Styela clava: one gene and its partner. Each later gene encodes a partner of the first gene's protein in a complex. Links are inferred from orthologs where the notes say so. Each region holds a gene or a part of one and is shown on either strand. Other genes may lie near its edges.

Region 1 (10,299 bases):
AACTGCAAGCTTTCTCGCAGCTAAGGTTTGTAATAAATTTCAGGGGAATAAAAATTTCATCATACCCAACTTTGCCTGTGATTTTAGCAATCAGTGATGTCATTGCTTCGGGGGTCGAAGGTGGTGCACCTAAGTTTAAACAGAAAATCAGTTAATAATTGACATAGATTCAGGGTAATGTTACACACTGAGTCCTCTTCTGTTGACAAAAGTTGGACCAAATGTTCCACTGAAATAGAGGAAAATAAAACCATGAGTAACCTGAGATATATCTGTACCACTAGCAATATTAACCTGTATGTTGGACAAACCCTTGCAACACTTACTTAAGAGTCCAGGCCTAGCAGCTAATTTTTCTTGTATTTTTCTCTGCAATTCTGCAGCCTTTTCAGCTTTTGTCATTGAACTTTCTATTAGAGCCTGCTGTTCACTGCCATTGGAAATCTGCAAAATTTTCACAAAAAATGATAATTAATATAGATGTGATGATTAATATAGAAATGAAAGCACAACGCGACCCAATGTAGTATTTTCGAGTGCTATGATCTGAGGTTCTGGGTTTCATTTACGGTATGTTTCAATAGTTTCCTAAAAAATTTTGATATATTTGGTAAAGGAATGACTTCACTCAAAAATTGTTGCACCAGCACAGCACGATGCATAAGACAATATCCTTAACATACAGGGTGTCCACGAAGTTCTCATCACAACCTTGGTGATTTGTTTAGCATTTCAAAGAAAAATCAGGCAAAGATGAGGAAGAAGAGTTGACATTTTGCCTTTATTCCTTACGCCTACATGTTTACAGACTTTGAATACGTGGAGTACACGTTAATTATCACCAAAATTTTTATCGTTTTCACGCCGTGAGTTTTTTCTCTGATAATTTGGCACTGCACGAACAAAATCTCTGGGAACCGCTGCCGCACAGAGAATTTGAAGCCATGCAAATTAAATAATTGCAGTACAATGAGAACATGTTAATAATGCTCAGCATGACAATGACTGTGTTAAATTCTACATGAAAAAAGAAAGAGGATGAGGGAGCTCGACCACACAACAAACTAATGGGAACCGAGAAAAGGTGATGTTGTATAGTCTAGCACTGACATGGGCAAACTACGTCCCGTGGGTAATTCAGTTAGGCAATTCAATCTGCTTGTCTGATGCTGCCACAATCGAACTAAAACCAAATTTTGATGTTTTAGCTGTCAAATAGCTCGAAAAAATTTATTGCAATTTTAGTTTTGGCATGAGGCTTATTTTTCAAATTTGCTTTTGTAACACTGTAAATTTATTCTTAAAATGTAACTTTCAACGTCATAATTACATGGCCCGCCAGTCTAGGTGGGCAAAATTGTTGGCCCCTGGTTCAAAAACCTTGCCCTCCCCTGGTATAGCAATTCTCAGACACATAAAACATGTTAGTTTTCAACCGTATTTCAGGCTATGCTCTTCCTCCTTGCTTTCTCTGAACCAAGTTGACTTACTTTAAAAATTGTGTTAGGTGTCATCATGGTTTGTGGCAGAGAAGCAAATATAAATGATTGATCTTCAGAATTTGAAGCAAATTGAACCAATTAACATGACGACAAATAGGTCGCTAACCAACGAGGCAACATTTTTATTCCCCAATATATACGTGATCCGATACCTTAGCTGCTTCAGCCTGAGCTCTGATATCAGCTGGATCCATCATTTTCAATTGTTCCTTCCTTTGTTCAATTTGTTTTCTGGCGTGTTCCATCATGTTTTTGATCTGTATGTTGGAAAGAGGATAATGATAGTTAGCAGTAACGCAAAAAAATTATACACTGATAGTTAGGCATACCTAGCACAGGTATGTAGAAAATGAAAACAGTATTCAAATATATCTAAAGATAGTTATATTCTATATACAGTATTTTACGGAAGGCAGCGTTTCAAATACTTTTTTCTGAAAATTGATTGTGCGGCTTCCGAGCCAACGCGACGCGCCTAATGTAATAGACCAGGTAATGTGCCTGCGCTCAAAACCAGTACGGTTCCGCCTTATGTATGAATAAAAACCCAATCTGAGCAATTTATTGACGGTGCGCATCATGACCTAGTGTGCTGCGTAAAATACGTTAGTTAATTCGTGATTTTAGGGACTTTAAGTGTTTTATATATTTATCCAATGACTTTGAATTTGGAATAGCATATGAGTAATTCAGAAAAACATCAATTTGAGTGGTCTTCTCTTCCATATTACCGATATAGACTCCATATATTAAATGGAGGCTTTTCTGGTCACACTGTGGAACTATGATATTTTTGATATAAAATGTATTTAAAATAACTAAATATGAGACGATAAGGTCGAGTAGTTAAATGCAATAGATGAATATCAGAAGTTAAGCATATTAAGCCCAAGGCCCACGACATGACACACAAATATATTAGACATGCTGATTAGTAAAATTAGTTATTGTCCAGGTATAAGCAGCTACTTATCTGGAGCTTTAAGTGAGGAAATAATTAGTTACATATACCGTAGTTTTATTCCGCTGAAGATTATTTGGCGATACGCATATTCTTTGAATAGTGGCAACACTGCGGTTTAGTTAGAACTGTATAAAAAGCGACTAGCCCTATTCTTGTGAAAGCTAGTTGATACGTCTCAAGCTGAATGAATTTGGCTGGCGGTCGTATCCGAACAGTGGATTGCCTAACATTGATTAAATGAGCGCTGCATTCAGGGTGTTGATGAGTCATATCATTGTTAGAGTGTATGTCCTAAAAACTCAACCTATGCTACATAATAACGAATTAAATTGAAGATTGTTGCATTTTTATAGCCTTATCAACTCTTACTGGTAAAATTGATGGGGTTCAATGGAAGCTTGCAGAATAACATAGGATTTCGGCAGGTTCGTATAGGTTAATTGAAAGATAGTAAGTGAATGGAAACGACAAAATCTCGTCTTCACCTGTTGAGTGGTGAGCATTCCAGGACTCTCAGCGATGGGTTCAGCAGGAAGAGCAACAGGAATATCAGGTTCAACAAAACGACGAACTTTCTTGGTCCCTGCTGTTTCAACTTCATCCTCCTAAAACAATATGATTAGAAAGAATAAGAATTGCTTTGTTGACAGGTAAGTTACTTGACGACAAGTGTGAAATTATTTCAAAATGGGGCAATTGCAATATAAATATTCGACTTGTTTGAGAGCCACAAAAAACTGTTCCCACACAAAAACCTACATGAAAATCAAATCTTAATCGCCAAGACAACGAATTTCTGGTAAACCAGATATTTTAAGTCTGCATTCAAATAATTCACTTCGCATTTTGAGATTTCAAATTCTAATCGTTTCCACCTAACCTGTATTTATTATATGCCAATCAATCTGGCAACATGTCTAGAACCTTGTTCAGAGCCTGCTCATAAAAAATGGTTCCGAAGAAAAAACAAAGAAAAACTGACCTTTCTTTTTCTGCTTTTCTTTTTCGTTTTAGAAAGTTCAACTGTTGTATACAACTCCTCAACAAACTTTTTTGCTGATTTATCCATCAGAGGTTGCAGATGTTCTGAATGAAATGTTGTGAATAAATAAGAGGTTCAATAAGAAGCTATATTTTAAAACTTGAAAAACGTGAAGTCTCAAAAACGCAATAACAAATGTCAGATATGTAACTCTAATATAAAATCCTAGCCATTCCTTACTGTCAATGAGAGATGCGCTTCATTGCATGACATTAGGTGATATGTTTCTTTTCAACACTTTTAATTTCAAATTATAGATTTACGAGATGATTCACATCAAATAGGTAAAATTTGTTCTCAATACCAACATAACTGCTCTGTCACTGGAGATATTAATAAGCAAAAATGATAGCACTGGATGCATCTCTATCCAATAATGATCTACCGGATAAATAAATAATTTCAATCTTCAATTTCACAATATTTGCTATTGAACCATAAGTATAACCATGAACCATGTTTATAGGTATACCATAAAGAGATGTCTGAATAAAATGATGTTTGAGAACGACAAAGAGTCCTTGTAGAAGTAAGATGAACACAACTAGGAGCCGAGTCGAAAAACCAATCGATAAGACACCAACATTCTTATGATAACGATCAGCATGAGTCGATTTCATATTTATTCCGCCAATGAAAATCTTAGAGTAATAGATATTCAGGTGGTTAAGCCCCGAGAACTCTAATAAATAAAAATTGATACACAAATAACAGAATAAAGACTGAAAGAGGAAATAGAAACAACAACTTCCAGAAATTGTTCAGGAGATGCAACAAAGATTTTTGCATTTCAAATGGAGGGCTTTAGAAATCCTGTTTACGATTTATCATTGTGGTAAAGCAACAATAAATACAAACCAATTATTCTTCCTTTGTCCATGTCCTTCTGTAGACATTGGATTGCTGCCACGACAACAGAATTGTCGGAGAAACCAAGTACTTTTTCAACAATTCCACTGATTTGAGGCTTCAATTCATCAGCTTCTTTTCTTGATAACGCCATTTTCATAGTTGATTTAGAACTGAAAAACAAAATCCTGGAACAGTGATAACTTTTGCTTTTAAAATGTAAACTACAGAACTAGCCTATCTAGATTCAGAAAATTGTTAAAGTTATCCTAGGCTACTGTCTGAAAATATGCTATGTATTTCAATTGGAGGTAGATTCGAAAGGGTGAATAACGTACACGATGTTACAGCCATTTTATTTGATCAAGGACAAAAGGATAGGATTTTACAAATTCTCTGAAACATGAGGTGATGGTAGAAACAGGCAATCTGTTTTGTAATAAAACCCTATCAAATATAAAGTTAAGTATTATTAATAAGTGGAATCTCAGTAAACATGAACCGCTAAAATTAATTCATGACACCAAAATGCCGAATAATCTAAAAATCTACAGCAATAGTCTAATAATAATGCTAACTTCACAGTGGTGAATTATTAAACCGCACTCGGTAAAAGTGCATAACAGATGCCAGATTTCTCCATGGAAATAAGAAATCTCAGAAATAATTTCTGTTCTAATATAAGTATAATATTAAAAGTATATTGTATATACTTATGACGATATAATTATTAGTAAATAGTGAACTTGAATTATGACAGATTCAATGCTAAAATATACATATGTCTCAGTTTGATGCACTGCAATCTGGCATGATGCATTTTGTATTAAAAAAAACGTCTCGCATACGTTTTACCGATGGTGGTCGGAGTCAAAGACAACTGAACATAAACCATTATATTACATTGAGGTGTATGTATACACTTCATAAAGGAATTTATTCCATGACATATGTCAATTGTACTATCTTAATTAATATGTAGAGCTAACTTTTCACTCACTCGAGTGCGTTGCATCGACCTATTCTGGCCTATCTATATGTTATTTAGCTGTGTAAATTGCTCACAGCAGTACTCATATTGAAGAGTAAACACAGGAGTTGAATTGTGTTAGTATAGAATAAATAGGGATTATAAAGCCGCCAGTGAGGATAGAACTCACGACCTCTGGTTTACAAGACCAGTGCTCTAAACACTGAGCTATGGCAGCCAACGTACAACGCGACAAAAATACGAGGCCGCATCCTGATCGAAAATCAAAGAAAAGCATTTTAAAAATACATCCCTGGCTGGATACTGGTGTAAGACGGGGAGTCATTATCTATCGTACCCTTACCCTTATTTTTCAAGAATTTCTCTCTTTTCCGTCGTTGATATCGAGCCAATGTATTTAGAACTGGAAGTTCATTGCTGTGGCTAATGGGTAACATTCAAAGTAAATTTAGAAATTGCTTTGCAGAAAACGAGAAGATAGATGGAAGCCACCAGTGAGGACCGAACTCACGACCCCTGGTCCACGAGACCAGTGCTCCAACCACTGAGGTATGGCGGCCGATACACCAATGTACAAAGCTACGGAATATTAAATAGTCTCAGGACTTCTGCCACAAATCGGTCTTGACAAAGCTGATAATCGCAATTATCATGGAATCATGTCCAATGATATCTGAATGTGCGTCATTATAGGGAATCGAACTCACACTCGCTGTACAGTAATTTTGCATTTTATCGTTTTGGCGACACGCATGCTATGGTTATTACAGCGATAATACGGCACGGTAATTGGTTAATTTAAGTTTAAACGTATTCCTTGGTTTGTTTCATTTGTTGATAATATCATGTAAATAATCAAAGCTTCGCTATTAAAGATCGCTATTATCGAGATCACAATCTCAATTACATGTCTGGTATGGGATTAGATAGCCAATTATTTCTTTCAAATGCATGGACTTGTTGATAGAGGGAGTCGTAACCGAGCAGTGGTCACGGAAACCACCCAACGGCGACAAGGATTCCAGCAATCCTCTGGCACATAATTATCACCCAGGGGTTTAGAATCAGCAAACCCACGCAGGGTAGTCAGAGGCGCGATGGTTAATATGGTGGCCGGCATAATCATCAAAATAATGTGAAGATCGGAAATGAAAAAGATTATTATTTGCATTATTTGAATAAAACGCAAGTAGGAATCCACCAATGAAGCGTTAGCTCATGTCGCTGGGTTTACAAAATGGTTGCTCTGAACACTAAGCAAATTGTGTTCATTTGGAGTTTATCCATTAAGAGGAACTACAAAAAAAAGAATTGAAGACAGAGGCACAAGTGAGGATAGAACTGTGGCTTACAAGAGTGCTGTAGCCAATGACAAACGCCGGCGCCCAGACGCCCACGCTTGCAACAGGATTAAACCCCAGATTTTCACTTTACTCGTCATAAGACTAATATGAATAAGCTGATATAAACAGAGCCGATACTAGCTCCTTACCTACTACATAAAATGATCACGACGTAACTTGGAGTCTGTCACGACTTTCTCCGTCAACCATGACTGTATAACAATAAGCTAGCAATTCTCAACCAAACTATAAGAGAACAATATATCGTGGTGCTTTTATCAAGCCGTTTTATTGGCTCCCCCTCCCTTGGGAGATTACGAAGCCCTTCTTGGTGGCTCGATGGCTTGGCAGTTAAAACGCATAAATTTTAAATGTATTACAATAACATATTACACATCTAGGGTTTGCCCCTCACGCAAGGTGTAATAAAATGGCGATTTCGAATTGGAAAGATTCTGTACGATCCAAATATTAGCAGCACGTTAGACCTCATGGTTGCTTGTACAAGGCCCTGTCCAGAGCGAAAGACGTTTTCACATAAGCGTCGTATTAACAAAAAAGCGATGCTCAAATATATAAACACCGAGTTCAAAACGTACCGGATTCAAATATTTTATTTTAGTCTTACATGGAATATTGTATCGACATAAGTAATAAAAAAGTGGTAACAAAAAGTTCAATTGAAATAAAGACCCATACAATATTTTCGCAATTGACGCGTGGCTGCGAAAGACTACCAGACTCATCGTGCCAGCGCAGCGTGTTTGCTGAGTTCACAAAACAATTTTGCAAAAATAAATGAAATCGAGAGAGTCAGGAGATTACCGCAAACTTCACGACTAACGCAAACGTAACCTTCGCAAGGTGTGCAATTTTTGATATCGTAATCGTACACAAAAAAAAACGAATCAAATAGGGTCCACAGAAATTGTTGAAATAAATAAAAGTAATAGCCTTCTGACGAAAAATACAATTTTAAAACACTGAAAATTCCAAAGCAGTATAGATAATGTGAAAATGTAGAAACGGAAATCGTATTCTGATCTGTTTTAGCCATCTATCAGCCAAACCGGCTGTTTCGCTGCCAAATTTTTATATTAAAATTTTTAATCTTGCATGATAATTATGAAGAAATATATCAATCGACATGTGTGAAATAGAAAATACGACGTTATATTGGCACAAAATCATGCGCCATGACTCGATGTATCAGTTTCATACGATAAGTAGGCTCAAACATTTATTTATTTCAACACCAACAGTAGCCAAATTCTATTGGTTTTCTAATTGAACACCGAGAATACTAGCGCCAGTGCTTAATGCATCTGAATCAATCAAAGCATTTGGATCCCAAACATATACTTCTTAATATATATATATGTGTGTGTGTGATATTTCCCTTTTTTGAACCGAAATAATGTGCACTATTAATAATGCCCAAAGAGTATTGTTTTAAACCGTCTGCCCTGCACACTTGAGGTACTAATTACATAATATCGGTATCGTAATATCGGCCGTTTTCGAATATCGGCGTCGGCTTTTTTCATTGGTATCGGCGACAAAAGTGGTATCGGTACATCTCTAATGCAAACTTGTCGTCCACAGTATTAATCTTGCTGTTTCGATATGGGAGATGAGGTGAAACCTCGACCCCGAAAAGCCATTTTCATGTACTACTCTTTTGTCGTTGAGATTACATTCTCGAAGGAAAAGATCACTATATATTTGAATACTGGAAATCATAGGATTTGGCCTGACATATTTGACGGATCTATAATAATTTAAGTTGAACTAAATACTTCATCACGATAGTTCAGAAGAAAATATTACAATATGGTTTAATCTGACAATAACATCGATCTGAAAGAAGACAGACCCCATGTACGTGTTCTTGTTATTTGGCACCAAGTGAACCATTTTAGTGGCAATTGTATTTTTATTTCTCCACTCAGTTGGAGATTTGGCGTATGTAAATACAGTGACGAAATTCGGCACTACATATTTGTACAGCCAGGTGTATGTGCACCAAGATGGTGGACGCCGGAAAGTAGTATGTGTACCAGGTTAGGGTTAGGCACAAATTTCAGGTACGAATAATAAGGGAGTCACTTGGCTAGTCCCTGATCTCGTGAAAGATTTAAAACGAGAATATCGGTTGGAAACCGAAGACTTATCGATCGATAGTTAGGGGATCCCCCAAAACGGAAACTGCAGTTTCGATTCATCCGCTCTTGTAACTTGCGCACTGCGCATCGCACACACACACACTCGGCGGGTCTCAAAATTCTCTCGCTTTACAAAAATCTAGATCACTATATCAATAATTGATTGATAACCTGCTAATTATACGACCTAATTCGCCCAAAATCAATAGGCTACTGGTCCGAGATAAGATGAATGCACATGCAAAATCTGGAGCAGATTCAATCTCGCTTTCGTGAGATATCGCGTGCATCTAACAGACATACATACAGACAGACTAATACCTATCAACATACTTACCGATTAAAATCGATAAGTAATAAGGAAAATTAGAATAAAATTATGGCCTAATAACTTCAACCTGGTACACACACTACGTTCCGGTGACCGCCACAGTGATTTCCCTACACCCCCCCTATAGGGGGTGAACACCCCCCCTAAAATTTCAAACACCCCCCCTAATTTTGAGGTGAGATTCCACACTGTAATTCCTAACTCTAGTATAATTGTATTCAAATATAACGCCTATGGCATATTCATCAGTGTAGATGAGTGGTTCCAAACCGCAGTCTGCGGGCCAATTACGGCTCGCGTGACGATTTAAAATGGCCCGCCGAACTTGAGTGAAATAGTTTAACCCTTCATGTGGTACATTTTGAGTTTTAGATACCGTCTATTGTTACATCATTATCACCGTTTAAGGACGTTTATTTCGTAACATTTGAATTATATCGGTATCTTATGTATACGTATGGGTATTAGGATTACACACTGCAGTATTTTAGATATCAGCCGTATATTAGGAAAGCTTAATAATGTCACAAAACGAAAACTAGGCACCGAAAACAGACGTTTTTTAGATGAATGATAGCGTTTTTATTTTTTTATTGAAAAGAATCAAATTTCAGCGATTTGTCTTCTTACCAACAAAATATTTCAGTTCTGAAGGAATACAACATTATGCGCCATTATGATCAGTTGACGCGCGTATTTCAAAATTTAATTCATTGCATAATTCATACAAAGTTCAAACAAACATGTTAAAAAAAATGTGAAATGTGTAACAAAACAAGCCATAAGTAGCCATTCATACAATGCCAGATGAGCTAGTAACTTCATTAGTCACTATCAGTTGCAAATTACTTGTTGAAACCTAGTAGTATATAGTTACGGTGGAAAGCCTTGCTTTATTATCTATTTCCCGGGAGTTCTATCAGCTAAATATTATAATTATTGATTTCATTACATAACAAACTGCGATGCTAGGTGTATCTAAAATCGAGCTTAGAGCCTATTTTGGTGCCTATTTCTCAAAATTTTCTCAGGGCGCTTAGGCGCGCCCTGAACCCCAGCCGTGCCGTCCCGTACTTTTCCTCGCTGCCCTTTTCTGGCCCTACAATTTTATT
Region 2 (10,494 bases), on another chromosome or scaffold:
TGAAAAAGGAAAGTGAACTGATTCAAATACCAATGCATATGGCCTTTGTAAACGCTTTTATTAAATGATAGTTTTAAATAAGCCAAAAAATTCAATTCAAGTTACAGATATTAACAAGTAAAGTTCATCCACTTAAAAGATATTATATCCTGTAGCTTGTTTTGCGGTGGTATAGTTATGTTTGCTTCTATTATAGTAATAACTAACTACACATAAATTATCAGGTCAGTGAAGATCTCGCTGAGAGGGCTGATGCATTCGGTATGATTCTTGATGATGTATCACTGACACATTTAACCTTCGGAAGAGAATTTACACACGCTGTCGAAGCAAAACAAGTCGCCCAGCAAGAAGCAGAACGAGCTAGATTTGTTGTGGAAAAGGTTTGAATTATATTTGGTAGATTAGCGCTTTGTCTCTTTTCGGGTATTTTAGATATTTTTATGTTTTTCTGTATTTAGGCTGAGCAACAGAAAATGGCTGCTGTTACAACGGCAGAAGGAGATGCCAAAGCTGCTCAACTTATCGCCAAAGCAATTGGTATGTTCATTATTTTATTTGCACTAGCTACTTCTGTTAGTGCAAACCCGTTATATGCATTGATGATTGTCGAATCACATAGCTCGGCAGTATGAATAGCTTACATTACAATCACTTAGTGCAGAGCGGGCAGTACACAGGATCACTTCGACTGGCAGCCAATTATCTAGATTCTTTTCATTTGAGTCGGTCATCAGTAGAGCTCGACCAATATCGATATATCGGCCAACTAGCGGCCGATAATCGATATTAATATAAATCATGTTGTGACCCACAAAATGGGCTTTTATGATGTACCTCGTGAGTCTGTAGTTTATTTTAATATTTATTTATTATACGGCTGATATTTTGCATAACCATGTTTCCAGAGTTATAAAGGGAGATCCCATGGTTAGGTGAACTGGTCGAAATATAATTAGTGTTTTGAAAACTGTTGAATGCTGAGAGTTAAAAATTGCACAGACTCTCAATATCTCATTCAGTTGATTAAAATGGATTCATTTATTTTTGTATAACTCTCACTAAAATGATGGCAACCAAGAAATTCAAAATTGCATTCAGGGAGGTCACAAATTTGGAACCAGTTTGATGACATTATTATATGATAACCGTATTGTTATTGTACAACAGCCATTGAAATGCATAAGTGCAATTATTTTTCATGGTAATAGATGAATAAAACAAGTCCCATTGAAAGAAGGTATTGCTATTAAAAGGACCCCAATCAATTTAGTCTTAATTACCTGTACCATGTTTCTGTGATTACTAACTCAACATCTCCAAATCGATTCTATTTATAGAACTAGCGCTTCTTTCAATAAAAAAATTGCCTTTTTCTCTTTGTGTACTCTCTCAAAACGTGATTTTAAATGTTACTCCGGATAATAACTTTTCAATCATCATCATGCATGAAAAGGCTAATCATATGTCACTGGGTATTAGGAGAGACACCTTTTTAATACAAAATGAAAGCAGAGAAAGATTGGGAAAACAGTTAGGAAGAGGCGAGAGTCGTTGAAGCACACAGCCCGACTAATGCGGATGTATATATCGGCAGTTTACCTTTATTCTTTTGTAGCCCACTTCTGTCGCCCATCAACGGTGGTCTAGTATGACTTTATGTAATGGTTTGTCTAGTCATCAGTACGACCTCAAAGACCATGTTTTTCTAATTTTGTTAAGAGGCAGGATGACCATTTTACTATCAGTAACCTTATATGTTAAAAATGTCTCAAATTTAACTTTGTATTAACAGCGGAAGCTGGTGAAGGTCTGATTGAACTTCGTAAGCTGGAGGCAGCAGAGGAAATCGCCCAAGTAATTTCACATTCAAAGAACGTTTCATACCTTCCATCAAATCAACAAGTACTACTGGCGCTTCCTGCTCAACAGTAATCATGGTTGACCAGTGACTATATATCACATCATGTGGTGGAACAATTGTAAATTAAGACTAGCAATTAATTTGTGCTTTTCAAGTTGAATGCGAGTGATAACTGTTCTTGTGGTCTCTGCGCTTTCTGGTATCTCGTCCTTTACAATATAGTGATTGATAAGTGTTCCTGGAAACATGAAGTAAACAACAAAACAGCCTTGATCACTTTGCTCTCATTCGGACCATTAAAATACAGTTTTGATTATAAACCGTGTTTATGACTGTTTGGAATAGCAAAAAAGTGTGGTCAAGGGGAATTCTGGTTTATTTCTGTAATACTGCTGATTAGGTTTATATACTAGCGAAGCAGGACAGGATTCTGTGCATTCGATAAACTTCATGCAAAAATTTGTTCGTGTTTAGCACCATGATTCAGCCTGGAGAAGTTAATATTGGCCATTCAGTAAAGGTGTGGGAGTCTGGAGACACTTGGAGTTCTTCAACCAGTGGGTCGCAAATTTGTTCTGTTGTCAATATTCCAATAAAGCAAATCCCTTTTATTAATTGCAGTTCTGATCCCAGGATCCTCTAAATAGGCATATTTTCTAAATGTACGCAATCATACATACTCAATGATCGTAGTATGCCTTTTTAGTCAGATATTATTGAAGGAAAAGAAAGTCGTGATATCAATGACAATGGATTTCCAAAATCATGGATTTAAGCATAGGTGGTGGAAGAAAAGCACTGATTAACAATAAAAGTATGATTCGAGCAAAGTTTGTGGTACGAAAGTCAACACCATTCACCAATTTTATTAGGAAATTGTACTGTCTTTTTAAAAGAAACTGAGTATATCTTTCAATTTTGTCTCCCCTATTAAATTTCAGCATAACTGCCAGGGTTTTAATGTATTTCCCTGTTTTAAAGGATGCTGCTCATGCAACATATTCCTGACTATGCTGAACAGCATTCAGTTAGTTGTAAAATATTTGTGCAATGGTTAAAAACTTCAGTGTCATGCCATTCCTCGAAGAGGTGGCGACACCAAAATTACTCCATCACCTCGCACAAACAACATTGGAATGTTTCTTTTAGTTTGTTTATAAATTTCTTCATAAGTCTCTTCATCAATTTCAACTGCGGTCACGGTTTCTTCTACTTCTCCGAGAACCATGTTAAGATGTTGGTCGTATGCATGTAGTCGACCACGAAGTTCTCGTTCGTTTCGCATTTTTACATAAACCCTTTCGTCCAAACTCAATCGAATCAGATCAAGAGGCTCTTCTACTGTCTGTGTGACTGGCGGTGGCTGTAAAAGTAAGATTATATGTAAGTTATTTGAGCATTTTTCAGTCGTAAGTCAGTAGGGCACAGTTCTCTAATTCCAAGATGTCTCTGAAACGAGGGCATCTGGCACGACTGCAATGGTTTGCCAATGTAGAGGCCCAGACTGTCTCTTAAAAGAGGGGTTTGCACTCACTGTAATAAATGATATCTTTTGATGTAGGGGCTATCCTTTGAATCTGAGAACTGTGTCGTACTGTAAGTATAAGTCTGTTTCGACTACAGAATCAGGAGAGCAAACAAAACCTTAGATAAGGTTTGAAATTTACAGAATCATTTACATAAGAGTAGGGGTGCGGCGGTGTGGCTCATCGTGCTAAGCGTTAGGAATATGCTTGCCACCGCATCTTTGATTACTCTGCGTGGGTTCGCAAGTTCGAAACCCATGCAGGGATAGTTATGTGCGAGAGGATTGCTCGCCGTCATAGAGTGGTTCACGTAACCGCTGGTCAGTTATGGTTCCCTCCACCATCAAGTCCGTGCTACCGAAAACAAACAACTAATCCTATACCCGACATGGAAACCGGACGAGAGGCCCTGGTTCGCCATATTGTTAAGCTGTCTTAGCGACTTACCTCTCCCCGGGAGATAAATATGTGAATCCTATTTATGTGTGTGAATTAAATTAATAGGCCTACAACCGAAAAGACATAATGCAGTACCGTAATAATTGAAAAACAAACTAGGAACCTAAGATAAACAAAAATGAAAACTAGACAAAGTAATAAAAAGATATTCGCCACACCGTATGAATAATTTTGTAAGGAGTGCTAAATTGAACAGGAAACTCATATCATTGCTGCATGGAGAGAGCTTTTTCATGAAATAAAAATCTATCCTGAAGTTTCATTACCAAATATTAAATTTCTTACCGGCTGCTCATCATCTGCCATTTTGCCGCGATTTAACTCTAGCACAAGTTTTCTAGGTAAGTGACAATTTTTCGAATAGGCTTGACAAATAAATTCCCAAGGCTTCTTAGCTCTTTTGCGCTAAATTACCTGATCCCCGCGTTCCATATCGAAATGTGTTGGAGGCGTGGCATAGGCGGGGATACCAATAGAACTAGTGACCCATGACCGATAACTTTTTTATATTTCCCCTTTTCTACAAAACCATAATTCACGGAATACTGTTTTGAAAGTAAAAATAATAACCTATATTTTCATATTTGTACTTAAAAAATATACATATAAGCCATTAGTAATCAAATATATTAACCCAGATAAAAATTGATTTTTTGTTGTGAAATCTTGATCGACCAAACGTCAATCAATCGACTTTGTTTATGTCTTTCGCTGACTGGTTCCTTAGGTCTGTAGATAGAGTATCTTGGTCTTTGTAATTTGCGACTTTGTTGTATTGTATGGAATTTGTCGTTTAATTGAAACAATTTAATGTACCGGGATGCGGCGACATCAAGTTTTAACTGGAGCTGTTAACCCAGGAAATCACTGTTTCAGTGTAGGCAGCATTGCAAGTTTCACGTTTTGGGTAAGGTAGCAAGATAATATACACAACCATTTGCAGTCGTTTGTAGATTAAGTTCTTATAGCCGAAATTATTTTGTATTCAGGCATATGGATCAGGATGTGATCTGGTAATATTGGGAGTAGATCTTCAACCCATTCACATTATACCTGGTCATGTAAAAGGGTACAAACTTATTACTTGTCTGGATTGCTGTCAATTTGTTGGAAAGGTAGGCTATATTTATATCTATTTCAGTATTTGGCAAACTATATTTTAATTTTGTGGGTATGATATCCTAAGTAGAGGACTGAGTATACTGTCAGTCTGTCACTTTATGTTAGAGATCATGAGATCAAGCCTCGTTTTGTTCAATCTCAATTTATGTCCTCTACTTCATTGTAAAAGTGCCATGGTTTACATAGGTTATTTTTATTGAACCTATGCAGCATGCCACTAATAAGTAGCTTTCTGTACAAAGACTTATTTGGGGAGGTTAGGTGAAATTGTCTTATCAAAATCTTATAAATTTTAGTTGAACATTTTTAGAACTTTAATTTTCTGAAGGTATGTTCAATGAATGGCCACTCCATAAACAGTTTGTGTTGAAGGCCAATTTAGTTTAAATTAGAATATTTGTACAAATACTTTCTGAATTTTAAAAGCTTAGAATGAAATTGAATAGCATTTTCTGCTATTTATGTCACAGAATTATTGTTTACAAGTGTGTTACGAACTACAAAGCATTCACTATGATTATTTTGAATAGATCAATATTTGAAATTGCAACTTGCAGGAATACTTTTATTGTATCATTTACCACCATATTGTTTTCTAGATTGCTGTTTCATATGGACGAGACATTGTTATATATCATCCAAAACTTTTGCGAAACGAAAATGACGATGTACCGGTGAGTATTTGTCTCGCATAACTTCACAGGCAATGATACAAACTGAAACCATTTTTATTAAAATATACATTTTTCAGGTTTTTACATGGATTGAAGAAACAACATTAACATTGAAAGAAAGTGTGGGACGGGCAACTGTTTTGTCCTGGGCATCTACTGGTATGGCATTGACTTTATTAATATATATATATTTATGTTTTAATATTAATTATTTATTATTGCATAAAAATTTTGGGTGCCACTTTGGTATGCGATCTCACTTGCTTAACATGATCTCAATTGTTTAATCTAATGAAGACATTCTCATAGGATTCAGTTCCGAACGCTAACTAATGTGTCTGAAATCACAGAACCGCTGAGATAGCATCCGAAGTAGCACGCAAGTATGTTACTCTACATTTATTTGGTGTGATTAACCAACTTATTTAAATTTGAAATTGGTCGTAAGTAAATCAGTTTTGAGATGTAGATGTTCTAATTTTTCATTCAACAAATATAAGACATTTTTCGGTATATTTAGAGTAGACGCAAAATAAATTTATTTGTCTTATTGTCGCATATTTTCTCTGCTTGTTTTACTATTAATGATATCTTGTCAAATATTATTTTGAAGGTGAAAGACTTCTTGTTGGATGCAATGAGATACTACTGTATGAGATCAAAAAAGAATCTGCAAAAGAACCAAAGAGTCACACTTTAAAAGTGCAATTTTCTATTGAAGAAAGTGAGATTTATTTGTATTTCTAACAAACAAATATTAATCTAAATCTGAAAGGACAATTCAGATGTATTTTCCATCGGAACTCACAACTACGAATTAAGAGTATTTTAGATTCTATTTCCCTACTCCAGTGTAGCATAGTTTTACAAAATTTCAACTCCTGTCTCCTATGGGTTTAAATTTTTTTTGACCTCTGACGTCTAAAATTTTGCAAACTGCAATATCGTTTACGAAATATGATTTATGAAATATCCAGCCTGCGTCTTTACCTCTAGGTCTCAGAATTCACAGCTCTTAAGTTAAGTCAGGCTGTTTGCTTGTGAGGGATAGTACATGCTGGGACATTGAAATAACCAGCACAGAACCAATTTAGTTTTATCACAGTTATCATAATCATTTTTTCCCTCTTGTGATATCAATGAAATCTATCATTCTAGTTATGGAGTTTCATATTTTGACTTTCTCGTATTCGTTTGGCTTATTCACTCTAAATATTACTTATGTTTTATTCAATTTTGTTTTGCAATATTTTAGTTGAGGAAGAAGATGAGACAGAAGACAATTTTACAGCAGAAGAAGAAGCTGTACCTCAAGGTAGACTGATGGTTATATTTCAAAAACAGAAATTTTTTTAATTTCTGTTAAACTTGGATGTGTGAAATTGTGTAGGCTATAAGAAAGCAAAAAAATGGGTGCTCCCGAAGCATGTGAATCAAGATGGTTAGGGTCAGGCGATAATTTCAAGTACAAAGACTGCAGGAGCCACTTGGCTAGTCCCCGAACTCGTGATAACACTAAAATAAGGAAAATTGGAATTAAATTATGGCCTATCCCTAACCTGGTACACATACTACATTTAGGTGTCTGCCATCTTGGTTCACATACTTCGGGAATACCAAAAAGTGTTCTCTTTTCTGCAACCCAGTAGCGTTCTGAGTAGTTGCTGGAATGACCTGTCTTTGGAGTGAAAATATGTAATACTTTATAAAACGGATTTGCAGCCTTTTTTTCATTCAAAAATCGTTGATACATGGTTCCCACTTGTCAATGAATTTTCTATGCCAACATTATATTCACATTTGAAATCCGTAACATTTTTCAGAAGTAAAATGGGAGTTGGCTTGGAGCAGCGGAATAGAAGAAAATCCGCATGATGTTCAATATGCACCTGATGATACTTTGTTTGCTTCTATTTCTTGTGGTGACTCCATGATTAAAGTATGGCATCAACGAAATGCCCTGCCAATGCACCTGTTCAAAGATGCCTCCAGTCCTGGCAAAAAACACACTCAGGATGGGAATATTCAAAATGTAAGGGAATTTTCTGACTTTGTGTTTTATATTCTCAATTCTCTTGTTTTCAATTTATCATTTTTTGTGTCCTTCTCCTTTCAATGTTGATTCCCATGTGTGTGCTCGGATATTGGAATTATGTGTGTTCAAGGGAAATGATGTAGCCTACTCGTTACTATGTAGTTACATTATTCAAGGGGATTGCTGTACTCATTACTGTTGCAAGCCTCACTCCACAGTTTGTGATTTTCAACTGGTTAGTTATTTCACACCAATGTGGACTGGTAAATGGATAGAGCCTCGACCCCTGATATATGTTATTAAAAGGTATCTTTGTTATATGGATAAATATGGAAAATACTATGCTATGTTAAATGCGAGATATGTTGATAAAATTATTATATAACTTCTGTAAGGCTTACTGTAGTTTTCACTTTTCCGGATTTTAATATGTGAAGCAGTGTAGTGGTATTATTTAAATTGCTTTGGACATTTTATCTATTTGTTTGACTCCTAAATACTTAGTCCAAAAACTATTTGTACAAATAAGCTTGGACTTCAGTTTAAAAATCAGTTTTGTGGTCTCCTTCCAATTATCCTAATCCTCCCGGTTTGACGCATGCGCGACGTTTTGCAATGCTGTGTGTATACCATGAGGTCTGGAATGTTTGTTATGGTCTTGCTTGAAAGGAAATCTTATTCCCCACACAACGATATGAGAATGAACCTTATATGACATTTAGAAGTGATAAAATTTCGCTTACATATCACGCGTGTACTTCCCGCTGCGATATAAAAACGTCGCACAACAAGAAAATGATTCCATAAACCTTGGCGTTGCGCGCTAACCAATAACAAAAGCTAGTATGATAAGGTCTTATTTTGAAGGTCATTTTATATGCTACATAACATAGAAGAGTGGACATCTCACAACGTCAGGAAGTTATAAAAATATCGAGTCGTTTGATCGCAGCTGCCTCACCGAAAAAAAGTTAGGCGTTTTATCTCGCAAATTCTCCTTGTCTGACGATTATAAGCTTTTATGATTCATAATAAATGTTTTATTATGACTCACAAAAGCTTTCAACGCGATAAAGCACAAACAAACAACCGATCGATCTATCAAGCTTAGCCTGGCCTGATTCGATGTGGTGACTTCTCAAACGGAAAATTTCCAAAACGCTTCAACAACGCGCGCTATGGAAAAGCGTTTAGTATCATATGAAAGAGAAAACCAATGTGCAGTCAACTGTATAGTCACATTTCAGCTTTACAATAGCTGTAGACGTCTATCAGCTGATAGAATGAGAGAGTGTAAATATTTTTGTTATTTTTTGACGTTACGAGAGACCTCTTGAAAGAGGTGTTTTAGTTTACGGTCCTCCAGTGACATCTAGCGTATAGTACTCTAAAATACCTTTCCAATGGTATATAATTATTGTATATTGGGTAAATTTTGGGGGTCGTATGACATTAATAAAAATGTATTCAAAATTGGGCTCGATTGGGCGTCTGAAACAGGTTATAATAGCTCCTGAAATAGCGTTAGATATCAGTGGATGCTTCTATGGGGCCTTGTTTGGAGTGAGTGACATGAAAAACGTTACTTTCTGATCCTGTTTGTGAAACCAGCGGACAAAGACTTTCCGAGTCTTGATACCTCCTGATATTAAAATTGCATGAATTGATATAAATGAAAATTCTGCCTAAAAAGGGACATATATTCAGAAAAATTGTAATTTTGACCATTATATTTATACAAGGTCTTGAAAAATAAAAGTCAAACACCCAAAAATTAAAAACGATTCAACACATATGCTTATTTTCAGACAATGTCAAGCACAAGTCATATGGATCTTCATGAGCAATACCATACTTCTCTACCTACAACAACTAAATTGGATTTTACGTTCACTTATTTGGTTCATCCTAAACCTGTTGCTGGATTTTCATGGAGAAAAGGAGTTCCATTATTACCAAAGTATGATGCTTAATATTTTTGTGATCATTCAGGTCTGGTATCTGGTATATAGTATCACCTGTCGAAAGGGATGGAGGAAACTGAATACTTTTGCATTATGGATATATTTCAAATTGATTCATTTTTTGGGGATCAATTTTAGAAACATTGTGATTATGGCAAAAATTAAAATACAGTTTGCAGTAATTAATTAAATTTATTTCCAGTACTAGGTGTCTGATATAGGTTTTCCGTCCATGCGTAAGAGGCACTTACTCATAGTCATAAATATTGAAATAGCTCAATTTGGGAGGTGCAGAAATATTTTTATGTTAGCATGTCTTTTGATTTGATTCAGTTATTTTGCTCAAAAAAAGTTGTGAGAAATTACAGTATATAAGATGCACTGGGACAGGATGTGCCGGTATATCAAATATCAAACTAGTTTTGTGTGTCTGGCTGTATTCTTGTCTGCAGTCTAATTGAGAAGGTTACAACTTTATGTGGATGATACATAAAAAGTAACTTGTAGTTTTAATGCTATTTTATTATTTTATATTATAGCGGTTCTGTTCCCAACGTTCTGATAAGCTCATGTCGAGATAACATGTGCAGAATTTGGTGTGAAACTCTGACTCGAGAAACTGATGTTACCAAACTTGCTGCGGCTCATGCAACAACTCAACCTAAGCATCAAATTGGAAAGAAAAGACATCATCTGAATCAGGATAAAGGAACACCAGGAACCGTTCCTGTCAAAAAGGTTGGTAGAAAAGGTTTCATGTGATAAATTTTCTGAGATTTGAGGATTTTAGTGCCATATCTAACCTGGTGTAGAGGTAAATTGATAAGCTTATTTGATTATATTATATACA

Evidence for each region. The genes of interacting proteins can lie anywhere in the genome.
Region 2: U4/U6 small nuclear ribonucleoprotein Prp3-like (region 1) and U6 snRNA-associated Sm-like protein LSm3 share a complex: the UniProt entries of both Homo sapiens proteins name them as parts of the precatalytic spliceosome. The link is inferred for Styela clava from reciprocal best matches to the Homo sapiens genes PRPF3 and LSM3.

What each region holds. Positions count from the first base shown.
Region 1 is NC_135262.1:3,870,463-3,880,761, reverse strand, and holds the start of U4/U6 small nuclear ribonucleoprotein Prp3-like, read right to left. Parts: upstream 4,865-10,299; 5' UTR 4,518-4,864; coding exon 4,367-4,517; intron 3,553-4,366; coding exon 3,449-3,552; intron 3,072-3,448; coding exon 2,952-3,071; intron 1,760-2,951; coding exon 1,655-1,759; intron 445-1,654; coding exon 327-444; intron 130-326; coding exon 66-129; intron 1-65. UniProt on the Homo sapiens protein: Plays a role in pre-mRNA splicing as component of the U4/U6-U5 tri-snRNP complex that is involved in spliceosome assembly, and as component of the precatalytic spliceosome (spliceosome B complex).
Region 2 is NC_135261.1:10,468,280-10,478,773, reverse strand, and holds U6 snRNA-associated Sm-like protein LSm3, read right to left. Parts: upstream 4,297-10,494; 5' UTR 4,156-4,296; coding exon 4,135-4,155; intron 3,228-4,134; coding exon 2,934-3,227; 3' UTR 2,560-2,933; downstream 1-2,559. Other genes in the region: prohibitin 1-like, read left to right, coding at 225-383, 462-540, 1,796-1,935; dmX-like protein 1, read left to right, coding at 4,670-4,756, 4,839-4,964, 5,571-5,645, 5,723-5,804, 6,259-6,369, 6,901-6,960, 7,469-7,677, 9,489-9,640 and 1 more. UniProt on the Homo sapiens protein: Plays a role in pre-mRNA splicing as component of the U4/U6-U5 tri-snRNP complex that is involved in spliceosome assembly, and as component of the precatalytic spliceosome (spliceosome B complex).